Linked DNA regions of Astyanax mexicanus. The protein of the gene in region 1 purifies or fractionates together with the protein of each later gene. This does not show direct contact. Links are inferred from orthologs where the notes say so. Each region holds a gene or a part of one and is shown on either strand. Other genes may lie near its edges.

Region 1 (7,676 bases):
AACATATTGTTATTCATTTAGTAAATAATTTACTGCCTTGAGAAGCCAAATTTAAACTAGGCAAAAACTAAATATTGCCCCATAAATAATTGTGCTAAACAATATTATTGTCATTTTAAGACCATTTAATGCCACTAATATAATGACATAATAATTTCATTGCATAAAATTACAATTATATGAACTTTTAAGTCTAATTAATTAATTAATTTTAATGGATGAATATAATTAAACCACTCTTTTTTTAAAGGAACATTCCAGCCATTCACATTAATTGTTTTCGCTAAGAAAAACATAATATAATGTGATTCCTCTCTAAATAAAATAATTGAGGTTGTGCAAATATATTGTAGGGTGTTGTGGTAGGCCTAATATGTACTAATATAAAAATAAAACATATGTTTATATTTAATTAAGTTAAAATTCCTGATAAAGGTCAGCGCACAAATTTTATTTTGACCACTTCTGGTACTTTTTGACCACTCTGTAAACTGACCATGTCTAGACCATTTCTGACCATCAACTATACTGTGTAGCCACCACACATATTACTATTTTAATTTATGATAATAATAATCATTATTATTATTATTATTATTATTATTATTATTATTATTATTATTTACACTTTTGAGTGTTGTTATTTGTCTGTTTCATTTCTTATATTTTCATTTACCTCATAACATATTGTTATTTATTTAGGAAATAATTCACTGCCTCGTGAAATCAAAAACTTAATTGAAACTTAATTCTGACTGGGAGCATTTAATAAACGTTTACAAACAGTTATAGTTAATAAAAACAGCACAAAATATAGCCTGACTGTTTGTTGTTGTTGTTGTTTTTTAGTTGAACGCTAAATTCCTCATTCACTTTCACTGTAACGTTAGTGGTGGTACTTACTTAAAGTAAAGCCAGTTGTGCTAAAAACTACTTTTTGAAGCAGTATTAAAGGAATAAAAACAGTGGTCTCTGTTGATACACATTTTCCTATTTTTTGTTGTACTTTTCCAGGAATGAGGTCAAACAGGTTGAGTTACCTCCTCACCCAGTCAGTAAAAACCAAACCAAACCAAACAAGCCCACTCAAAACCGCCAGACTACAGCTGTCCAGGTTTAACACTTTCTTTACTGTAATAAAGTTTAATAACCAGAAACGGCTGAAACCCCGGGCCCCGGTAAGGGCAGGTCTCTGGCCGGCTCACCTCCGTGCGGAGCTCCGTGTTTCCAGGTGGAGCTTTCGCCTCCTCCGCGCTCGGCATCTCCCCAGGGGCAGCGGCGCTCGAGCCTTTCTTCTGATGCTCGCTGTTACATGGCTCCGGTAAAGGCTTCATCGAGGCGGCGGAGCAGCTTCACAAACACGCGCCCGTTCAGGACCCGCCGGACTAACAGTGATGAACCACCGCGAGAAAAGTTACATTCCGCCCCACAAACTCACAGCAGCCCGGCAGCAGCAGCAGAAGCAGCGCAGGTGTACAGTTCAGCTCGCCATGTTTGATCCTGGGGAGGGGAGGAGACAAAAAGAGAGAGAGAGAGAGAGAGAGAGAGAGGTGAGAGGAGGAACCTCTCTCTCCTCACCCCTATAAACAGGCCATTATACACCTGAGCACACCCACTCCTCCTATACAGCATTCCTTCTTCCTATCTATCTATCTATCTATCTATCTATCTATCTATCTATCTATCTATCTATCTATCTATCTATCTATCTATCTATCTATCTATCTATCTATCTAATTTTCCTGTCTATATGTCTCCCTGCCAGTCTACCTGTCTGTCGCTTAATTTGTCTTAATTTATCTCTCGGTTTTCTATCTGCCTGGATCTATATCCATCTTCCTGTCTGTCTATTTGTTAGTTTGTCCATCTGCTTGTCTGCCTATCTATCTGTTAATCTTCCTACATATCTGTCTGTCTACATTTCAGTCTTTTCAGTCAATCTGTCTGCCTATGTGTCTCTTGCCTGTCTATTAATTTGTCTTAATTTATTTGTCAGTTTTCCATCTGCCTGTATATCCATTTATATACATCTTCCTGTCTATTTGTTAGTTTGTCTACATGTCTTTCTGTCTACCTGTTGTCAGTCTATCTGCCTGTCTATTAATTTGTCATTAATTGTCATTTATCTGTTGGTTTTCTGCCTGTATATCCATATGTCTGCCTGCTTATCTGTCTGTCTGCCAATTACAGTCTTTAAATAAACTTCAAATAACAAAAAGACAAGTTTATATATGCTGTGTAAATAACCAAAGAATTAAATAAAGAAATAAAGGAAGCCTTTTTCCTGGTATAAAAAACACAGATCTCTCTTAAAAGCTGCTATATGCCGCTTTTCTTCTGTTTGACTGATATGTGTTGCACAGCATTTTGCTCTCGTTTCCACAGGAAGCCACGCAGGAAACTGCAACTTTGCTAGTATGAAGTATAGGCCAGTGACTGTATAGACCATGAGTTAACACCTAATTCTAAAAAAAAACACAAAAGATTAGATATCTCACATTAAACACTGTAGTGTATTGTACATTCTGATGCATCTTGTTTTTTTCTTGTTTTTTTTTTTTTACTTTAATGCAGTGTTTGTGTGTTTAGTTGCTGGCTATGTGAATGTTTTGTTTGATGTATTAGTGCAGTACACTTGTACTTGTTTGTCTACAATTACTTGAACTCTAGTCTATTCACATATTTTCTGCTAAAGGCCATAAGTGCCAATGTTGCCATTTTAAATATATAATTTCTCTAAGTCATATTAATCTTTAAGTGTGTTTTATTAGTTTTGTATGTTGTGTAATTATGTTCTGTAGTGACAGTTAGTAATTGCATAAAGGTTCACACTGTACTTTATGACTGTGTGTTTTGTTGTTTCTAGGTGATGCTCAGACAGGTTCCTCCTTCTCTGTGGGAAGTGTGTGTGTGTGTGGGGGTGGTTCTGTTGTTCAAAAAGACTGCTCCTCCTTCTGCGAAGAAGGAAGTGTGTGTGTGTTTGTGTGTGTGTTTGTGTGTGAGTGTGTGTGTGTGACCCTGTGGGAGTGGTTTTGTTGTTCAGAGAAACTCCTTCTCCTGTCAGAAGATGGTCATGTGGGAGTGGCTAAAATATTCACATGAACTCCTCCTCTTCTTGGCATCAGTTTCTCCAAAACACAAAGAAGGAAGAGGTGTAAAAAAGAGGAAGAAGTGTTCAGAAACATTCAGAAATGCTGTTACCAGGTAGGAAACCAGTCATATCTGAGTCAGTGTGCAGTATTTTAGCATTCCTAATATAATATAGTCAGATGATAAAACACACACTATTATTGTATATAATACTTATATACAATAATAATATACATTTAAACAATATATCTGATACATCTGGCTATTCTGGGCCTGTCATTTGCTTTTTTCTTTTTAAATTCTAGTATTTAACAGAATAGTAAAAAAACATTTTAAAGATATTTAAACTGTTATGTTACCAGATAAAACAGCTGCAACAACAAATTAAGTGCAGGATACAAATATATTACATGTGTATTATTATGTAACATATTACATGTCCAGATAAAAATATTAGGTTCGTTATTTAGGTTCAAACACATAAGAGAACAGAAATGATGAGAAATGTACTGACAGTTAATGTCAAAATAATAAAATATATGTTATATGATGTATATAAACATCAATATAAAAATCTCAAGGATTTTTCTTTTTATTTTGCACTGAGGGACTTAGTATTAGTTGTGGTGTTGCTTTGTAAAATATGAAGAAGGAACAATGGTTGTGTCAGTTTGTATACCCTACCCCACTCCAGCTCCTGACACACACACACACACACACAAACACACACACACACCCGCCAATCTCACTCACATCGAGTTTTGCCGGTTTTCAAATTTCCCGCCACATAAAATACCATCTGCTTCCGCCACGCAGAAAACAGAAAGAAGTCCGGTCTCTTTTATTTTAGTATTTTTTTTTTTTTAATTTTTATTATAAAATAGTATTTAAAAATTGTTTATATAAAAACAATGCACAGTATGATTACTAATCAATACTAATTACTAATAAATTACTATAAACAAATAAACAAAACGGCAAATTTCAAAAATGTAATTTCTTATTAATTCTTATTATCAAGTATGTTTAAAAATAGTTAAGTCTCACATTACAGTATATATTGCATTAGCGTATAAAAATCGTTCCCAATAATAACTCACATGGGTACACAAGTTAGCTATATTGAAGCGATTTTTATCGCCCTCTCCTTCTTTTGTTTATTTTTATTTTTTTGAAGCAAGTGTATTTGTCTGTTTGTGTTAAACTTTTTTCTGCAAGAGACTAATACCTACTTATACGTACATCTGCTGTTTTTATAGCACCATCCACATGTTTACAATATGCATTACAAAGCAAAAGTAGCCATGTGGACTCTTTAATGTCCACAAGCCTAAATCTTTCTCAACAAACATAAAATATATTATCTCACAATAAATAACACACTACAACATAAATATTCCAAAGACTGGAAGAATGATAAATAGTAGGTCACCTTCACTGTTTTTAGAATTTATCTAATCCAGTAAAGCTGCCAGTGGCTGCAGATCAGGATGTCCCGCCCCCAGCCCTCCTCTGATTGGTCCTCGCAGTTAAGCATGGAGGTTTTCTGTCACGGTTTGAAGACATTCGCGCTTTATTTCTTGCATCAGCTGGTCAGTGCTGGACGGCAGGCCCAAGCTAGTAGTTAGATACACAGTACCTCTGTTATAATAGTCATTTTTGTACCAGTTTTGCACTTTTCCTTACAATATAAGTAAACATGTACGTCCTCAAGCGAGGTGAGTGTGTTTTTGCCTCTTATTTTGCCTCTTATCTAATCTGGTTAGGTTAGCTGTGTTAAATAGCCCTATATTAATCTTTATGCTTTAAATAGCCAACTAACTGACATTTTATATAGCTAGTAATGTATGTTTTATAACAGTTAATATAAGTGAGCTAGCTAACGTTATTTTGGCAGTGAACTTCTATATAGTTAGCTAGCTATATATGTTTGTAGCTTTACTGTAGTCCTAGCTTTGCTTTCTGATATATTTACTCTATTAGCTCTGTTTTAAACCTGTGTTTACTGTTGTTAAATCCAGACAAGTGGTTTAAATGATAAATATAGTTAGGTTAATTATAGTTGTGTGAAGTTCCCAGTAAAGAAAGCTAGATAGCTAACCTAGGTTAGTTAGCTCCAGCAAATATTCAGAATAAAGTCTCCGGTTTATCCACTATTCACATGAACAGCTAATAAATCCGTTAAATATTATTTATGCTAAATAAAACATGCATTTAGATGACAGTTATATAGCTAACTTCGCTATATTATCACCATTGTTCCTGTATGCTGCAGTACTCCTCCTTTGTTGTCAGTGTGGTTGGCGCCAAATAGCCTGTTGGCCGAGTTCGTTAGCTAGTTAACTGGCTAATCCCTCTCACTTCAAGTTAATTTAGCACAAGATAATGTCTTATTTTCTAACCTTTGCGCCTTTAAATGCTAAATTAACTTAAATACCTTGTATTTAAAGCTTTGGTGGTAAGGTACTGAGCTTGGGAAAAACTTTGACAAGTTCTCAGCATAAAGGAAAAAAAACATATAAAAACAAACTTCTTTAAAATCTGATTGCGGTACACACCCTTAACACATTTTGCAATCTTGTAATTATAATCATGTTTGCTGCAAAACAAGTGAATACTAAACTAGAACAATAAGGTCTCCATGTTTGACCTAGTTTGGTTCGAAGCAAGCTAGACACACACCTAAACGCTACACACATACAGAAAATTAAATTTGTTCAGTGTAACAGAATTTGTAAATACAATCTTAAGAGTTCTTGACTTTTTATTGTTTATATGGTACTGTTTATTTTATATAATATTTTTATTTTTTAAAATAATACATTTATTTTATACTGAGTGCCTTGCTATCACTTTTCTGTTGTAGTACTGTGAATTTGCCCACTGTGTGACTAATAAAGGATTTTCTTATCTTATCTCTTATCTTAGATTGCTAGCTTGGTCAATATTGACTATTGATACAAAACACAACTTTTCTAAGGTTCTGTATTACTAAAAATGCCTATTTTCTATTTGCAGATGGACGCCAGGAGCGTGTTATGTTTGACAAAATTACCTCACGTATCCAGAAGCTCTGCTATGGACTCAACTCTGACTTTGTTGATCCTGTATGTATAGGCTATTTATTCTTTGTGAGATTTTTGTATCGTTCTACAACCTCAAAACCTGCATACTGACATTGCAATATGTTCACAGCTTTAGACTGTCTGATCTGTTTAATAGAATTTCTTTTTTATTATTATTATTATTAAAACATGTTTACAATGTGTTTTAACAATATGCCTTTCTGCTGTTGTGTTTCCAGACTCAGATAACAATGAAGGTGATCCAGGGCTTGTACAGTGGGGTGACCACTGTAGAGCTGGACACCTTGGCTGCAGAGACCGCTGCTACCCTCACCACTAAACATCCTGACTATGCCATCTTGGCAGCCCGTATTGCAGTGTCTAACCTGCACAAGGAGACAAAGAAGGTATTTAGTGGTAAGTAATCTGACCGGCTTGGTGTATATTTCCTGCAGAGTTCCAGAGGTTTGTTATACATTACTTGCGGAAAAAAAATATATATATTTTGTGTTTTTGCTTTTTGCAGAGGTTATGGAGGACCTTTACAACTACGTTAATCCTCTTAATGGACGACACTCCCCAATGATCTCCAAGGACACCCTTGACATTATCTTGGCTAATAAGGATGTAAGAATGATAAAGCATTTATTGTTTTTCTTTTGATCTGTAAAGGTTTTTTTTTTTTCCCCTAATACCTAGTTTTCCTTGGTTCTTTCCACAGCGCCTCAATTCAGCCATCATCTTCGACAGGGACTTCTCTTACAACTTCTTTGGTTTCAAGGTAAATTGAGTCTTGAAAATAACTTCTAATGAATATTTGATGTGCTCTGCCTAATTATTAAAAACAAATTTGATAGTTATTCTACAAATTACTCACCTCAACTGAATGTGTGTTCTTTCTTTAGACTCTGGAGCGGTCGTATTTGCTCAAGATTGATGGAAAGGGTAAGTTATTTGAATAAATGTTTTACTGATTCCTGAAGACTTCTCTAAATATGAGCAATGTCAAATGTTTATTGCTCACTGTCTTTTTGCATCTGGTTTTAGTTGCAGAAAGGCCACAGCACATGCTGATGAGGGTAGCAGTTGGGATCCATAAGGAAGATATTGCTGCTGCTATTGAGACCTACAACCTGCTGTCTGAGAAATGGTTCACCCACGCTTCTCCTACACTCTTCAATGCAGGCACTAACCGGCCTCAGCTCTCCAGGTATACACCAGAGGGAGACATATTGCTGTTGATGAAACATGTTGAAATATGCCTGCATTTCAGAGTTTGGACATAAGAGGGCAGTTCAGTAAAATAAACAAAGCTATAAACTGTAAAGTAAAACAAGTTTTGAAAGTTGTGTTCCTAAAGGTTTAGACTGTTTGTCGTTAAGCCTGTTTGACCTCTTTCTGTAGCACTTGGGTGCAGGAGACTTATATAATCCTTACATGTAATGAGGTTTTTGTATAATATATTCAGGTATAATTATCATGATTTTTTTTTCCTTCCTTTTTCCAGCTGTTTCCTTCTTG
Region 2 (7,581 bases), on another chromosome or scaffold:
ATTAATTTTAGTAGAATTTGAAACTGTTGATTTTCACCATTTTAATAATAATTACATTTAATAATTGTTTTTTGTGATCAGATTCATGCTGCTATTAGGCCTTTGCTGGAGGCCTATTTCCCTGTTATGTCTGGAGTGCGCGTCATTGCTGAGCCAGGAACTTTTTATGTGTCTTCCTCTTTCACCTTGGTTGTAAATGTCATTGGAAAGAAAGTGGCAGCAGGCAGTCTTCATGTTGAGACTAAAGGTGCGTACATTCTGTCACTACACACCAGTGGATATTAAATGCCACTATTATATAGTCTGTAGTATTTTTTATTTTTGAGTTTTTTATATTTCTGTGAAATCATCTGCAGATTTGACTCCAAGCGATGAGCCAGAATTTTTGTACTATTTAAATGATGGTGTCTATGGATCTTTTATGGGAAAGCTGTTGGGAAACACCATTCCATCCCCCAAGGTACACAAGGTATGGACACTCAACACACAGAACCATATACATGCAAAATTGGTTTTACTACCAGATCTGGTCGTTTGAGTATGTGTTTTTTTTTGTTTTGTTTTTTTCCCTCAGATGTCACTTGCAGCAGATGAGCCGATGTTCCCCAGCAGCTTGTGGGGTCCCTCTTGTGACGCATTGGACCAGGTGGTGGAGCACTGCCTTCTCCCTGAGCTCACTGTGGGAGACTGGCTGATCTTCAACAATATGGGGGCCAGTGGTCAAGAGGAGTCCGCAGCCATCAATAACTCAGACAAGCCACCTGTGTATTACACTATTTCTACAGACGACTGGTAATTACAAACATAATGGATACTGTGCTTTTTCTGCTCTCTTTTCAGGCTTGTTGTTTACTTGTTTTAGTACATAATACATTAAATGTATAACAAATTATGATGTCTGGACACATCTGGTCATTATGTAAATTAAACACACTATAACTATTTTTTTAACCAAAACTTAAACAAAAATTAAAGTTAAGTAGTTATTAAAAGTCACATTTATCTATGTACTTTCTGTCTTTCAGGTTTGAGATGCAGGAGGCTGGAATCTCTCTTGACAACACAATGAGGAATTTTTCCTTGGTCCAGTATTGCTTGTAATTGGATAAAATCTGAAGCTGACCCCCTAACTTGGGCATTTCAAGTCAAGTGGTCAGAATTTAAATGGCCTGCATAGTGAACATTCCAGCAGCTATGGGTGGGGACAACAATGTGTAGCCACTAGTAAAGGAACAAGACCAGTGGCATTGGGATCACACAATAAATTATCCTTATCTAATTTTTTCACAATTTACTGATTGAAATGCTCGTTTTCCTTGCCCACCATAGGAATGAGTCCAGGAGCCCCATGTTTATTAACAACATATGCAACAAAATGGACGACTGTGGAGATGGAATCCAGTCATTGGGTTTCTTAATCAAGAATCGTTTACATAAGTGTTCAATTAATTTAATTCTATATTGATTACCTGCTGACAGTCTTGTAAATGAGTTGTCTATTGCTCCATTATGCACTTGTCTATATTAAAATCTGATGTGATTTTAATGAGTTTAGATTCTAGTATCAGACGTGTTGCAACCCTTTGTGTAGATTGACAGAGTGGAAATTTTGATATTGATTTGTTATATCAAAGCTTCTCCATCCTAGTCGACCCTGGGTTTTTAGAACTGTGGAGTGCACCTTTGGTTGTGTCTTCAGTACATGGATTGTGACAGTATTTCCCTGTATTAATATGTACTGTCCCTTGGCTTTATGTACTGTGTTTGACTTTGTGGCCTAAAAAGGCTTATAGAATGAGAACTATAGGGTCACACCAGTATACTGTACAAGTACCAAGGACATATGCCTGATATTAAAGAAACCTTTTAGAACTGGGACTTGGGGAAAGTGGCTTTATATAGCATTTGGGTAGGGAAAGAAGGTGACTTCAAGCGAAATGTGCAAGTGCCTGAGGCAGTGTGCTCAAACTACCAGTAACAGTCACCATAAGCGCTGCAAGATTCATGCTATTAATCTCTGACAGCTCCTCTCAGGCTTCTCACAATAAATAGCTGTTTTAAAGATTTGATCATATTTTTCATTGTAAGTAAAACCAACTTACCTAAATGGCTTTTGTCTCCATAACTAAAATGTAATGATTATGGAGTGAAAAACATCTAACACAATATAGTCTGATATGTATATAATATGAGCCCAGGCTATGCTTGTATCATTTTCCCTGAAGAAACAATACTTTGGGACCAGCAGAGGAGTTAAAAAAAAGGTGCCAGATGAGGTGTATTTTGTAATGTAGTACAACAATGAAACATTTGATCATATCTTCTTGTGCTGTTTACCTTCCAAAAGGCTTTGTTAAATGTCTTTTGATTTAAAAATTTATAACACCCCTCCATTTAATGAAATCACACCCTTTAGCGATGTAATGTAAAATATTTTTGTCTGAGGCACTAATGGACCATAGCCTGTTTTTGACTGTAATATTGTGTTGTAATGAAATATATTAACTTAATACACTTCTTTGACTCATAATACTCAGTTTCTTTCATTTGTTATAGTGTTTCAGATAGTATAAACTTAATAAATCAACTCTACAGCAACATCTTGTGCGCCCTACACTTTGGGACAGAGAAGGTATACATTTTTATGGTGTACCTTTCTAGCTAGGCCTGTAATTAATTTTGTACAGCCATTGCACCCAAAGAAAAGTCCCATTCCAGGTTTGATACATCAGCCAACATAGCATTATATTGTGAGTGATGGGGGCGAGAACACCATCTGCCCCCTCTTGGGCTCCGGCTGCTAATATCGAGGCAGCACTCCTTGTACTACCTGCAACATGTTTTAAATACTGTTGCTACACACTGCCCTATTTTCCTATATGATGGATTTAACTGCTGCGCACAGACAGAGCCCCATATCGGCCTAGACAGACAAGACTGTCTAAAATCAGAGAACAAGTACTGGTCTTTTCTATTTTTATGTAGACAAAACTCAAAGTAAATGTGTCTCATGTTCATACATTGTTTGATTGATAATGTAAATATTAAAACAGGTTTAACTGTAGCTACAGTCAGGCACGAAGAATAAAAATTAGTCTTTGAAGCTTTGAGTGAAAAGCACTTTCCAGACATTGAGTATATGTGCTGTATTACCGGACTTAGTGTCTTTATCCAGTGGCTGAAGATCTTTATTAATTGACAGTGGTTTATGTTAAAAACCTTCAGTTTTGTGTTTATTTTTTGATATGTCCATCTATCTTCTCAGTTTGATTAATTTATCCATAAAACATGAATCAGAACTCTGCACTCTCATTTCTGCAAACGTCTGGCCCTTTGGTTTTTATAATTCCACTCATAACAGGATGAGGTGTAGGCTGTTTTTCATTCACAAATCAATAATGTGCGCAGTAGATTGAAGTTGTACTTTGGATGATTTCAGGAGCTGATAAGATCCTTCCTCAATCAATTATAGTTGTTTCTTTCAGTCAGCCTCATTAAGGACAAAGGCCAAAAGCAAGAATATGAACCACAGCTCTGTCACATGCTCATTCAGTAATCATTTAACTCTTCAAAAAGGACACTTGCAAAACAGGGCATAAGCAATAAAATGTTACACTTTTTATCTCTTAAAACAGATTGTTTGTTAATTAGGCCGTTATCGCTGTCTTTAACACACACTATATTTTATTGTAGTGTATACCTTGCTCAAAAAGCATGGCTACAACACATTGTAATTGAATGGGTTGGGCTAAATATATGTAATTATGCTAGTACCCTGATATGGCATTTGTTTTATTAAATTAAAGTGTGATACTTATTAAACTGAGGGGACAAACTGTTAAATTAAGGTATTAGTAGAGGTGGGTGATATGGCCCTAAAATAATATCACGATATTTCATGGTATTTTCGTGATAATTGTACTCTTGCCGATATAAATTAATGATTTTTTTTTTTCAAGAATACACTACTGCATCAAAATGAAAATTTTATTTAATTATTGCATACGATTTATGTCACACCCCTTCCTTAGATATTAAAAATTACAAGAATTTAATCAGACTTGTAATAGAGGTCAATGCTGCAGAATGCCATGATACTAATAATGCACTCCAGATATCTCCATATATCCAGGGTTAAAGTAAAATAAATGATACTTGACAGATATAATCTGTCTCTAGTAGATTTATAATGGGAAATGAGAACCGTGTGAATTTTTCTTTTGCTAAAAACAGGTAGAAGAAGTAGAACCCTGATATGGAATTTGTTTTATTAAATTAAAGAAAAAGTGTGATAATTATTAAACTGAGTGGACAAACTGTTAAATTAAGGTATAAGTGTTTATAGTTTGGGAATATTTTATTATTTTGAGGGAACAAATTATTCCCTTGAGGAATGTATTAAAATAAAGGAACAGTTATTAAATGTAAGGTATGATTTATTCAGCACAGGGTCTGTTAGGGTTGTGTTTCTGTTAGCTCAGTGGTTCTCTGGTTGAAGTCCTCCTGTGCGGTTCTCTGTGTGGCCGGAGGGGGCGCTGTGCTGAAGCCTCTCGCCGTTGTTTTGCCTCAGTGTTTTTATTCACTCGCCTCAGATGACAGGGACGGTAGTAACACTGTCATAGCGGCGCATCTGTAATGGACACCAACATCATGAACGTGGGGACGGACGACGGGCCATATCAGGTAATAAGAGCAGGAGCTGCTCGCCGTCCTGCGGACCGTGTGATTAAGCCAGGGTTAGCTAGGTTAGTGGTGTTAGTGTGGTCACAGTGTGCAGTTGTGCGACCTTTCATAATAAAGAGCAGAATGAGGACCTTACACAACCCCCGGGGTTTATTAGTGTACCTGTAGCTAAATCTACAGTTATATAAAACACACATTATTACTGTGTGAGAACAGCTGTCTGTCTGAATGCTGTCATCCGGCCTGACAGCACACGTAGTTAGGCTCTTAGATAACTAGTTTGTGTTATTTAAGCTCGAATGGGGTAAAAATAGATTGTTTAGATAATGTCGAGGCCGTGTCCGACTGAACAGGACCAGGAATACTTACTGTACAATTTTAACGTGTTTTAGCTGTCCTTGTTTCGTTTTAAGACTCTTAAACCTTTAAATAAAGACTAATATAAACTACCACTGAGTGACCACAGACCGTCCCTTTAAATTCTCTGGCAAGGAAACCTGTCTTCACCACACCGACTGGCTCCCCCTACTGCTGCCTCCACACCTAACCTTATATACTATCAGCTCTGGAAAAAAAAACTAAGCGACCACTTAAAATGATGAGTTTCTTTGATTTTTACCAAATTAAAAACCTCTGGAATATAATCAAGAGGAAGATGGATGATCACAAGCAATCAAACCAAACTGAACTGCTTGAATTTTTGCCCCAGGAGTGGCATAAATTATCCAAAAGCAGTGTGTAAGACTGGTGGATGTGAACATGCCAATATGCATGAAAACTCTGATTAAAAACCAGGGTTATTCCACCAAATATTGATTTCTAAATATTAAAAACTTTAGAAATATAAAATTGTTTTCTTTGCATTATTTGAGATCTGAAAGCTCTGCATCTTTTTTTTGTCATTTCTGTCATTTCTCATTCTCTGCAAATAAATGCTCTAAATGACAATATTTTTATTTTATATGTTATTTGGGAAAAATGTTGTCCATAGTTTGTAGAATAAAACAACAATGTTCATTTTACTCAAACTTTTACCTATAAATAGCAAAATCAGAGAATCTGATTCGGAAACTGAAGTGGTCTCTAAATTTTTTTTCAGAGCTGTATATTAAATGGCAGTTTCTCAGACAGAGATAAAGCCTGGTCTTGAACTTGAACTTTTAGCAGGGCAAGCATGATCAAAATCAAATAATCAGCTAAACTAGCTTATTATAATAAGGTACATTTTTGTCTGGATGACCATTAAGGACCAGTTAAGACCATCCAAAACCAGCTACCCACAAAAGCTGATCTTGAGCTTGTTTTTTTTTTTTTTAGCAGGGCAATCATAGGCTACATTCACATTACCAGGCTGAAGTGACTCAAATCAAATTATTCATGACTTTCATATGTGGTCATAAATCGGATACGTGTCCGATCCATGGACATGCAACATGAATGCAAATGGTCAAATTTCAGAATTCGTTGTGTCTTTTTGCTTTTACGCATGCGCAACGTGCTTCTCTCTCATACCCACACACCTCTTGGTGCAGCTGTGCAGCTATAGCTGCAAAAACAGCAAAATCAAACCGCCTGTTCTTTTTTTCACCTCCTCAACCTGAGCATGAACTTCAGACCAGCTGTTTTCTCTCCACTCGAGCAAAAGATGCTCCACATATGAGCTGCTAACGCATTTATTTCCCTTTATAAAACTACAAGTTGTCTCTCAAATATGAATATTGGTGAAGAAGGTGATGTTTATACACGTTTAAATTTGGGCATGTGAGGCGTTTTAGGAAAAGTTTTACAGATACAGGTCACTTACATTTGTCAATGTGAACCGTCAAAATGGCCAAACCCGATCTAAGTAAAAAAATCAGATTTGAGCAATAGGGCATGTAATGTGAACGTAGTCATAGACTATATTTTCCTTTTAGTAAAAAAAATCTCCATTCAGAAATGCAATGTAGTCCAAGTCTAGCCCTAATCCCTGTCTGGGAACCTGATCCATAGTTTTAGAGTAAAACAAGTTTTTGTAAAAACGAAGGCTTAAAATAATGTAGCGCTTTTATAAAAAGAGATTTAGACCCGTTCAAAATTATGTGGAACTAATTGGTTTTGTTTGTCAGAATGGCCACAAAGACGTGGATCCCCAGAGCACAGAAGATGAGCCGCTCCTCAGAGAAAACAAAAGAAGATTTGTCATCTTTCCCATCCAGTACCCAGACATCTGGAAAATGTACAAACAGGCCCAGGCCTCCTTCTGGACAGTAGAAGAGGTAAGTGTGTGCTTAATTTGATTTGGGTTTGTTCCAAAGGTAGATATTACATAAAATACATCTGAAAATATTGACATTTAAGGCAACAATAACATAACACATGACCTAACATTCACACCAAGTGTCCTGATCTCAGATTGGTCTTAGTTGTTTCTGGGCTATCCTATAAATGATAGGGTGTTATTTTATTATTTTCCTAGTTATTAGTACTGTTAACAACAAATAATGATTCCATTTTTAGTGAAAGATTTCAAACACTACATTAAAACCTGTCAGTCATTGCTGACCACACCAGTGCAACAGCTGTTTATCATCAATGTGGTGGAGTTCTTGCCTCATTGCATAAACATGTATTGGAGTTTCTCTCAAAACAAACAGTTAAAGTAGATAATGAAGCACACATTGGATTTCCAGTGATGAGTAAATGCTGACTGGTTGTAAAATGTGTAGATAAAATACCTTGACTGAAGTAGTGCCAATGTAAGCAGTTTAAATTATCTAAAAGCCTTACCCACAGCAGTGTCTGACATAGGTCCTACCTTAAGCAGCCATCTTTGCTCCTGCTTTAAAAGGGTAGGCTCCTCCCCCCCAATTACTTCAGCCACTTTAGACCCTCATTGGTTAGTGATCCTCCTGTGCA

The links. The genes of interacting proteins can lie anywhere in the genome.
Region 2: the proteins of rrm1 (region 1) and rrm2b purify together in Homo sapiens (affinity purification with western blotting; 3 studies listed by BioGRID and IntAct, counting the BioPlex papers as one, with this or other methods). This does not show direct contact. The link is inferred for Astyanax mexicanus from reciprocal best matches to the Homo sapiens genes RRM1 and RRM2B.

Annotation. Positions count from the first base shown.
Region 1 is NC_064424.1:10,477,040-10,484,715, forward strand, and holds the start of rrm1 (ribonucleoside-diphosphate reductase large subunit), read left to right. Parts: upstream 1-4,650; 5' UTR 4,651-4,789; coding exon 4,790-4,808; intron 4,809-6,108; coding exon 6,109-6,197; intron 6,198-6,394; coding exon 6,395-6,572; intron 6,573-6,681; coding exon 6,682-6,782; intron 6,783-6,876; coding exon 6,877-6,936; intron 6,937-7,060; coding exon 7,061-7,100; intron 7,101-7,202; coding exon 7,203-7,365; intron 7,366-7,662; coding exon 7,663-7,676. Other genes in the region: slc6a7 (sodium-dependent proline transporter), read right to left, coding at 1,206-1,334. UniProt on the Homo sapiens protein: Provides the precursors necessary for DNA synthesis. Catalyzes the biosynthesis of deoxyribonucleotides from the corresponding ribonucleotides.
Region 2 is NC_064410.1:43,457,133-43,464,713, forward strand, and holds the start of rrm2b (ribonucleoside-diphosphate reductase subunit M2 B), read left to right. Parts: upstream 1-4,542; 5' UTR 4,543-4,635; coding exon 4,636-4,683; intron 4,684-6,791; coding exon 6,792-6,941; intron 6,942-7,581.